Linked DNA regions of Nothobranchius furzeri. The protein of the gene in region 1 binds, or shares a complex with, the protein of each later gene. Links are inferred from orthologs where the notes say so. Each region holds a gene or a part of one and is shown in the gene's direction. Other genes may lie near its edges.

Region 1 (5,545 bases):
ATAGAATAGTCTAAGGAAATAGGCTCTAAACGTTTGACTTCGAACTTGTTTGGACTCCAGAAGTATGCAAGTATTGTCAAAATGAAAATTAGACAAAGAAAATACAATCAATCTTACAAACTTTTATAATATTGTTGTCTTTAAGGTGAAATAGGAGATGTTTTTCTTGCCTTTCAAGCAAGCTGCCATGTGAAAATGCACAATACCAATGTCCAACCTCCATACCTCCCTAAAATGTGCCTCTAGAATACGGGAATGCACAATGCTTGTTCCAGAGGGTTCAGTTTTACATTTTTGGCCATTATCGACAGTTTATGCGATAACACCTAACGTAATGCACCAACGTAACCATATGACAAGTCAGTATGCTAGCTAATATTAGGTGTGTGTATTGGCAAGGGCAACTATATACATGAAATTTAGCAATACTAAAAGAACTCAGGCCAGACACATCCAGAGTTATCGCCAGATCTCATTGTTCTATCAGATTGAAGGTGGTGAAAACTGAAGTTGCCAAGCAACAAAAGAAATACAGTTAATGCTTGCATGCAACTTTTCAGTAAAAATGTCTGTTGGAAAAAGAAGATAATTTTTAGCTTTCTTGGCTTATTAATAACTTTAAAATCCCAGCAGCTCAGTACCACCACCAATCTGGGAAAATCCCCATGAAAAAAGGTCAATAAGAACTTCCTAAGACCAGGGGCGGTTCTAGACCAAATTTTCCAGGGGTGGCCACAGTGGGGCCAGTATTTTTTCATGGGGGCACAAGAAAAAAAAAAGGGAATAATTAGGGCAATATCAAAATAGTTTTTTGTCTCCGCCATATGACTAGTTTTGTGCTTGTGCACAATTTTGCCAAAGGAAATTCCTAGTACTGTGAAACTACTCACTTTTTTGTTCTCTTCTTTTTCATGTCTATCTTTACTATATTTTGGGGATCAAATTTATCAAAAATTTTCCTTTACTTTTTTCATCTATGATCTTTTACAGCTGTATTTTATTAAAATAAGATTCAAATTAATTCATAAGTAAAGACAATGAACAAGTAATCTATTGCAGCAAATGCAGTAATGATTTACTTGTGAAAGTAAAACTGGCATGTCTTTATGGCTCAGACTCACGCTCCTCTCTAGGCGACTATGCACAAACGCATAAACGGCCCAAACAGAACATTCAGTCCGTTACACTAGGCAGCCTGGCTCAGGCTTCACTTCCTGTTTAGCTACTCTGAAAACCCTCGATTCTTGCATAGATGATCATGGCACGATCGGGGACAGTCATGCTCCAGTCATTATCAATTAGATGTTCGCAGTGAGGTGGCTTTTCCAGTATTGTACAGTTCAGAAATAATTCGTTTTCAGACAACACTGGTTGCTGTGAGGAGCATTTCAAATAATTTGGCAAAACAAATTTTGAGAAAAACATCTACATCATCTACAAGTTTTACGTTTTATTTTGATCAGTCACCTTTCTTTTCAGCTGCATCTCTCCTCAGCATCGGCTTCGAGGAGCTCCAGGAGGCGCTGACTTCTCAGTGTGTGGTCACGAGGGGCGAGACCATCATCCGTACCAACACCGTGGACAAAGCTGCTGACGTCCGAGACGCCATGTCCAAGGCCTTGTACGGACGCCTCTTCAGCTGGATCGTGAACCGCATCAACTCACTGCTGCAGCCTGACACGAACACCAGGTGAGTGTCTGTCGTCATCTGTGGGGACGTCCCCTCATGCAGGCTCTCTGCAAGTCCCCGATGACCTCTGTGGAAGTCCGCAGAGGTAAATGCAAAGAAGATGATATTAATAAGCACATACAAGAAAAGTAAAAAGAGCAAAAAAATCAAAAAAAGATAAGTTTTTATAAATTTTTGATAGTTGCGTGCAGAGAAAATAATGTTCAGATGATTAAAAAGACTTCAGAGAGACTGCAAAAAGACTTTTCATTGATCCAAAAGAATTTCTTCATAAATGTGAGCGTCGACTGTCAGGGAGTCATCTCACACAAATGAATTCAAGTCATCTGGGCTGATTCTTTATTGCTGTTAATAACCGGGCAGGCTTAAGGTGACCTCTATGTCCAGCCATGAAGCATCGAGTGCTGAATATAAATAGCATCTTCAGCTGAAGAAAGGTGAATTATTTGTGCTGAAAATGTTTGAGGTTAAATCAGCCGAGGCAATCTGAAGCGGCTGTCCGTAACTTCTCATCAGACTAAGCCATCCAGATCCGATTCTGAATTTGGGTTGAACTTGAATTATCATTAAAGTTTAATCAATTAATACGGCTGCTGGGGATTTACCCGCTCCGCCACATGGAAGAATGCATTTGTTTGTCCCCCTTTTCTCCTTTGAAGTGCCTCCGAGAGTTGCATGAATGTGGGAATCCTGGACATCTTTGGTTTTGAAAACTTCAAGAAGAACTCGTTTGAACAACTGTGCATCAACATCGCAAACGAGCAGATCCAGTTTTACTTCAATCAGCACATATTTGCCCTGGAACAGGTGAGGGTATTAATAATCCACACTGATGCATCAGAGATTACTCTAATGTGTTTTGGATTAAGCAAAACAGGGAATCGGTGATCTAGTGCTGTGATTACTTGTTTCTGCATGTTTTCATTTAAACTGTGAACCTCTGGCTTGTCTGATGAATAAAGAAAAAAAAAAGATTATTTTTACCTTCGTACACCTCAAAAAAACCCTTTCAATTAAATAAAGTATGTATTTTTTAAATGAATAAACATTATTTATAAGCTGTTGACCCAATCGCTTTGCAATTTTCATCACTAGTTCTAGTGAAGTTACTTTTCAAAAGCACAAGTAATCTACGTTTTTCGATATATCTTGTGCCATTTCCATTCAAAACTATGGCTCCTTTAATGAGAACAGTCATCTAAATTCACATTTAGAAACGCTCTGCAGGACCAGAACTCATCAGAAGCTGCATGTTCTTTTTTTACAGCAGTGATGAATGAGAATTAGGACCGAGCTCATGGAAAGTTGTTGCCCCGTTAAAGGGAATCTTTATTTCACACTCTGATTATTCCAGCATGATGACTTAAACATGAGTCAAACAGTTTAGATCCATTGGTTCTTCTTTATTAGTAAAATACATATTTAAAACAACTTTTTGATCTGAAGTTAAACAGATGCAATAATAAGAATATCGCAGTGTGTTATTTGCACATTGAAATACATTATAAATAAGTGAGTGACTATTTGTTAGATTGGAGCTGTTGGGGTTCATGCATCCATTTCATTATGCTAAAAAGTTCAGCCAGCTGCAGCTGGTTCCATGTGCGCGTACACACACACACACACACACACACACACACACACACACACACACACACACACACACACACACACACTCACACACGAGTCATTTTTACCCCAGATTGTTTAACTGGGTCATTTAGTGAAACCAATAACTGGTTCTTTTTGCGTTTTGTGGTTCTAATTAGATGGAATACCAGAGCGAGGGAGTAGATGCCAGCCTGGTGGAGTACGAGGACAACAGGCCCATCCTGGACATGTTTCTGCAGAAACCCATGGGTCTGCTGTCCCTGATGGACGAGGAGAGCCGCTTCCCTCAGGCCACGGACCAAACCCTCGTGGGTGAGTCTACAAAATACATCTGAGGTGATTTTTTATAACATGTAAAACTGACATTTCTTGTTTGCTTTCAGATAAATTTGAAGACAATCTGCGCTGCAAGTATTTTTGGATACCTAAACGCATGGAGCTTTGCTTTGGAATTCAGCATTATGCTGGGAAGGTATCAGAACATCTGAATCTATCTAATTTTAACTTAGAATATGTCCGTAAATGTTAACCTGGCGAAAACTTGCAGTATTAGGTTTGAAGTTGTTTTTTCTTAACAAAACTTCGGATTTCTGAGCATTTCCTGTGTTTTACTCTACAGGTTATGTACGATGTGAACGGTTTCCTGGAGAAGAACCGGGACACTCTTCCTGCAGACATCGTTCTGGTGCTGAGAACATCAGAGAACAAACTCCTGCAGCAGCTCTTCTCCAGCCCTCTGACTAAAACAGGTGTGTCGCCATGCAGTGGTGGAAAAAGTACTGTTTTTTTTACTTAAGTACAGAAAGTACAGGTAAAGGGATAAATAATTATTTAAAAGGGGACAAATTATAACTTTTTTCTTAGTTTATAATATTTTTATGGTTGATATCAAACATGTTCATGAAGTTCTTTGCACTCAATCTCTCTCACATTAAGATATTTCAGAATTTTTATTCTTGACATTTTCAGTATCTTCCACAATGAGCCTTTTTAGGGCTTTGTCACTTTAAGAAAAAAAGCTGTAGCTTGCCACACCTACCCATCCCCCACTCAGGCTACTATAAGCTGAGAAACTCGGATGTGCTGGCGGGGTTTGGAGTAGAGCTGCTGTTCCTCCAGCACCAGCTCTTTCTTGCACGTGATTGGTGGTTCCACTGTAATTTGTGATAATCACAAACAGGGACTTTTTGAATTGGCTTGTTTTCGTTCCTAAAACCAAACACTGACAAAAAAAATGGTTGGATGGATATTTTCACATTTGGACTGTTAAGAGAATATTTAACATAAGTAAAAGTATTAAAGTATGCATTTTAATATGTACTTCAAAGAAAAAAAGTGAAAGTAATACTTTTACCTTTGGAACTGCAGTCCGGCGGCAGCTCGAACAAGGGAATGCACACCCTGTCTCCATCAAACCCGGGGTTTGGGTGGGAGTTGGACAAAATGCAAATGAAAGTTCTTTCACTTTTGAAATTTTTATTTGTAGTGACGTAAAAGTAAAAAGTAGGCCTGAAAAAAAAGACTTAAGTAAAGTACAGATACAGAAAAATGATACAGTAATGAAATACTTGTACATCATTACATTCCATCACTGCCACAAGGATACCTATTTCATTAAAAAAATATTTGCAACAATTTAGAGAAGCAGTTTCTTGCCACTCACCATAACAGGGACCAAAACTTTCCTCGGAGACAGACCGTATTAGTGAGAGCATTGTCCTTCTGTGTGCTCCCTCCATACATGTTCAGGTAAGTGGGTTTCTTTAAAAGACGCAGCTCGCAGACATCTACCAGTCCTTCGTTTCAAGCCTCTGTGTGCCGTCCTCGGTTAAATCTGCAGTCCCCATTATCTCTTGAGAGGCTCAGCTCTCTGCACGGCACTCTGTTTTTATTTTCACTAAGCTTTCCCTCTTGGTTTCCCCACCGCTGAATGCTATCTCCAGATTGTGGGTGCTGTGGGATATTTTACGATAAGGTTTCTAAATACCCAGGGGATGAAGAAACAGTATTTAGAGAACACAAAAGCAACTCGTCCCACATCTTTTTCGTTGGTTAAATTAATGTGCTCGTCATTAGCCAATGCCGAGGCCTCCTGGTCACTTGACTTAGCTGAAATGCTAATGGATGTCTTAAATGATCAGATTCCCTCTTCTTTATTTCAGCTAAGCCACACTATATGATTCACTTCCTTTTTAGGGGCCCGTAAAGGCCCACTTTCACTCCCAGAGGCTTTAAAAGATGCCT
Region 2 (3,985 bases), on another chromosome or scaffold:
CTAAAGAAAACTCAATATATAAAGTAAATAAAACAACTTACTGTGATTGTTTTGAACAAAAAGCCAGTTCAAAACTTGTATAATCATGTGTGCTCTAATTGGTCTCCAACAGCGCATGTCTAAAACTTCTGTCCTCCATTGCCACTGAACTGCACATTTTTTTTACTCCTGTACACCTGGTTTGAATCAGCTGTGGCTTCTACAGAACTCGAGGGGCGTCCTGCAGGCGAATCAAGCATTAAATCAGATCAGGTGGGCTGGAGAACAAGTAAAACATGCTGGAATCTGGAATATGTAAGGCACACTAACAAAGTGTGCTGAAAACATATTTACAGGTGAATGCAGGTGCTTTTTGAAATCTGAGTCTTTCCTGATCTCATTTAGTGATAAAAAAAATACTATACTGATACTTGGATCTGAGTACTCATCGATACAGATTACCAATATTTCTACCACACAAAAAATGCAATAAGTTGCAGGTTTTATTTTCTTCTCTGCTTTCAACATGAAAAGACTGCGAGGTAGATAAAGAACAAAATATATTAACAGAAATAATCACAAAACTAAAACAGTATGTGAACAGAAATGACACAGTGAAGTCACTTTCAGGCAACTGCATTGGTTTCGGTTCCAGAAGTACATTTTAAATATAAAGAAAAGCAAAAAAAAAAAAAAAATCTGAGAGAGAGAGAGAGATTTATGATCCAATCAGCCACTTGGGTTAGGGCAGGGCTATTAAATTCTGGGTTTCTTGGTCGGTATCCAGCACGTTTAAGTAGATCCCTGGTCCAACACAGTCAGTGGTTGAATCACCTGCAGCTCCTCTGCAGAAGCCATTTAATCACCTAATTGAAACCAGGTGTGTTGAAGCAGGGTTAAACCCAGACCTGCTGCACTGGCTGGCCCTTGAGTCCTGGAATTGAATAGCCCTGGGTTAGGGTTAGAGACATTCATGATAATCAAGATGTCGGTCAAAAACAGCTTTTTTTGCACATTTTTTGTTTGGAAAACTGGCTAACTCTAGCAGATCAGATATGTTTTTCATGAGAAATAACTCGTTTTGCACTTCCTAAACCCCATAAATGTAAATTTACAGATGGTGGTTTACTCATGAAATAAGTCAGAATCAGTTTCACCAAAGACCACAAGATGGACCTCTTCCTTTCACAAGAAACAGGTGTCCGGTGTTGCTGATTTAACAGGAAAAAGCTGCGCAAACAGACAGGAGGAGTCCTCAAAGTCTGATCACTGGTGTTTACACCTGACTGAAACACTTACCTTTATAGAACTATTTACGTTAGTTTGTTACCGTTTGTTTGCACTGCTCCTTTAATTTCTGAGCGGATTTTCACAGCAACTTGTAACAGGCTCGGTGATCCTCCCCCTGCTGGATTATTTAACAGGCGCTCAGCCCCATGTCGCCATCTGCTAAAGGGAGAAAAACACCAAGAAAGACAAGAGCTACATTATAGACGAGAAATTAATTAGGAATAACGAAGGAAGAATTAATACAGGAAGTATTTTATTGGACACCTTGAGGCTGTTTTACAGGTGTGTGGATGATCGAGATTATAGAGGAGGATACGACTGCGGATGTCGTATCCCTGTGATGTTGTGAGATTTGATCAAACATGTAAAAGGATGTTTAAACAATTCAAACGTGGATTTTACGCTTCATCACCGCCTTGCTGAGATCCATGGAACCAAACTCTCCCACAGGTGACCTGGTGACCAGGATCTGAAGCTTTGCTGATAAAATGCTGCTGATGCTGACCCCATCCACCCGGTGAGTAAGTCGGGGGTCAACAGACGAGAGGGAGTCGTCCTGTCCGAGGCCATGGTGGTGATGGAGGGCGACAGGGCGCTGCTCGCAGCGAGGAAAGGGGACGTGCAGAGTCTGAAAGCGCAATTAGCGGCAAAGGTGCTCAACAGCGACATCAAGGATGCGCTCGGAGCTTCACCTGTCCACCACGCCGCCAGGGCCGGGAAACTGAGCTGTTTGCGTTTCCTGGTGGATGAGGCTGGACTGCCGGGAAACTGCGTGGCCAACAACGGGGCCACTCCGGCGCACGACGCGGCGGCTACGGGCAACCTGGCCTGCTTACAGTGGCTGCTGACCCAGGGTGGATGTCGGCCAGAGGTAAGTGAGCTAAGCCAAGGACTAACAAGTGGAGCAGACAACATGTAGAAGAACACCATGCTGCTTTAGATTCATTTGAATTATTTATTATGGCAATTTAATAAATACGATTTCAATATTTCTGCCCCGTCCTTTTGGTTCTCTGTAAAATCCTCTGTTGTTGTCTCTCTGATTCAACACGCCCTTAATGCAAAGGTCTGCAGAAGCCTGGTAATTAGTCATCGGATCAAACCAGGTGTGTTGGTGCAGAGAGGCATGTTAACAATCAGTACGGTAGCCCAGAAGGACCAAGCTTGCTCACCCCTAACCAACATCCTCGTACATGATCATACATGACAGCATGACCAGTCAGGAGGTTGGTGATAACTTCATCCAGGAAGCAATTACAACTCAACCAGGATGTCCCCTTTCAAAATAAAATATTATGATTCAATTACAAACTTTGAAGGAAAATGAAAGGCAATGAAATGATAGTTGTCAAAATCAGTACAAATGAAATTTAAACTTTAATTTTCTGATTAAAACCAACTTTGCAGAATTGCATTGTGTTGCCGTGGTGATGAAGTATAGGCAAAACAGGATTTGCAAACCTAATTCTATTTGTACAGTACATCAACAGGCAGTGGCGGACTCAGAAATTTGTGGGCCCAAGGCAAACAAAAACATGGAGCCCTCTGCAGCTGTTGGAAAAAATATTCTAAACATCTTTTAAGTGTAATTGGGGCCTTATAATAGGTTTAGGGCCCAAGGCCATCACCTCCCTTTGCCCAAAGATAAGTCTGCCTCTAGAGGCTCAGGAGGCTTAAAAACGCACGATGGCTCCATGTGGTATGTTGGGATAGTTGGAAGGCTTTTGGGTGCTGTAATCAGTAATGCTCACATAATGAAATAGATCTGATGACTCCATGACCTCGTGTCCCTGGTACATGCAAATTACAGTCGGCCAATAAAGAAATGCAGCTGCCTTTTAAGGAGTTGGATTGGGAAGTATTTTAGTTAAGCCGCTTTTTAATAGAAATGAAGGAAGTAAGGAAACTTAAAAGACAAATCCAGCAGTGTGCAGGAATCCAGAAGTCAAATCAAGATGGGTTGAAACTATAGAACACATGATGGTGAACAAATAAATACCACATGAATTTAGACCACTAATGCAAGAGCATAAAAAATGAATCATTACTTTTTTAGTTCTTGTCTGTTTTGCAGGACAGAGACAGTTCTGGCGCCACTGTACTCCACCTGGCAACTCGCTTCAGCCACCATGAGATCACCGACTGGCTGCTGAAGAGCGGTGAGGGGGACCCCGGGGCCCCTACAGATACAGGTGCCCTACCTGTTCATTATGCTGCTGCCAAGGGAGACCAGGCTTCCCTCCGCCTGTTACTGGGGCACAGCCCAAAGTAAGCCTTGATACGCGGGCTCCTTATTAACTGATCTGTTATTTAAAGTTACAAAGTGTAGTTTTTATGAAATAATCTCTGGAGACATCCACCAAATTGCTGTTGAAACTGAAACTGTTGGCAGCTTGATATCATATAAATATAAAAGGCAGGCCTAAAATACATGAGCAGGTCTAAGGCCCGTTCCCAATTCTCGCACTGCGTCCTACGGTCCTCTATGAAGTGCACTTGGAGGAAGGGCACAGTAAGGGTTCGAGTGTGTAGCACGCGTACCGAGATGCCACATCCACACAGGAGCCACATTCGGACCGCCAGACCTTCAAACCTTTGGGCCCTAGCGCCCCCGTCAATTGTGGGGCTTTGAAATTTAGCAGCAAAATTCATGTCCCAAATATCAATAATTGTTTACGTTCTCCAAACACAACTAAAACTTCAATCAAAACAGTTT

What was found. Proteins that work in one complex are often made in the same cells at the same time.
Region 2: the proteins of myo3b (region 1) and espn are in contact, whole or in part, in a crystal structure (PDB 5ET1), measured with the Mus musculus proteins. The link is inferred for Nothobranchius furzeri from reciprocal best matches to the Homo sapiens genes MYO3B and ESPN. Residues at the interface, in XP_017174528.1 of Mus musculus: Arg1223, Arg1224, Gln1226, Gln1227, Pro1228, Lys1229, Met1230, Leu1231, Ser1232, Ser1233, Asp1236, Thr1237, Met1238, Tyr1239, Tyr1240, Asn1241, Gln1242, Leu1243; in NP_997570.1 of Mus musculus: Leu35, Ala37, His41, Arg45, Ala67, Asn69, Ala71, His75, Asp76, Ala79, Thr80, Asp101, Ser103, Leu110, Arg113, Phe114, Thr135, Thr137, Ala139, His143, Tyr144, Ala147, Thr169, Asn171, Tyr177, Leu178, Gln181, Ala203, Asp205, Met207.

What each region holds. Positions count from the first base shown.
Region 1 is NC_091754.1:20,402,238-20,407,782, forward strand, and holds part of myo3b (myosin-IIIb), read left to right. Parts: intron 1-1,479; coding exon 1,480-1,690; intron 1,691-2,349; coding exon 2,350-2,497; intron 2,498-3,459; coding exon 3,460-3,613; intron 3,614-3,684; coding exon 3,685-3,773; intron 3,774-3,920; coding exon 3,921-4,050; intron 4,051-5,545.
Region 2 is NC_091755.1:32,449,765-32,453,749, forward strand, and holds the start of espn (espin), read left to right. Parts: upstream 1-1,185; 5' UTR 1,186-1,837; coding exon 1,838-2,140; intron 2,141-3,343; coding exon 3,344-3,537; intron 3,538-3,985. UniProt on the Homo sapiens protein: Multifunctional actin-bundling protein. Plays a major role in regulating the organization, dimension, dynamics and signaling capacities of the actin filament-rich microvilli in the mechanosensory and chemosensory cells.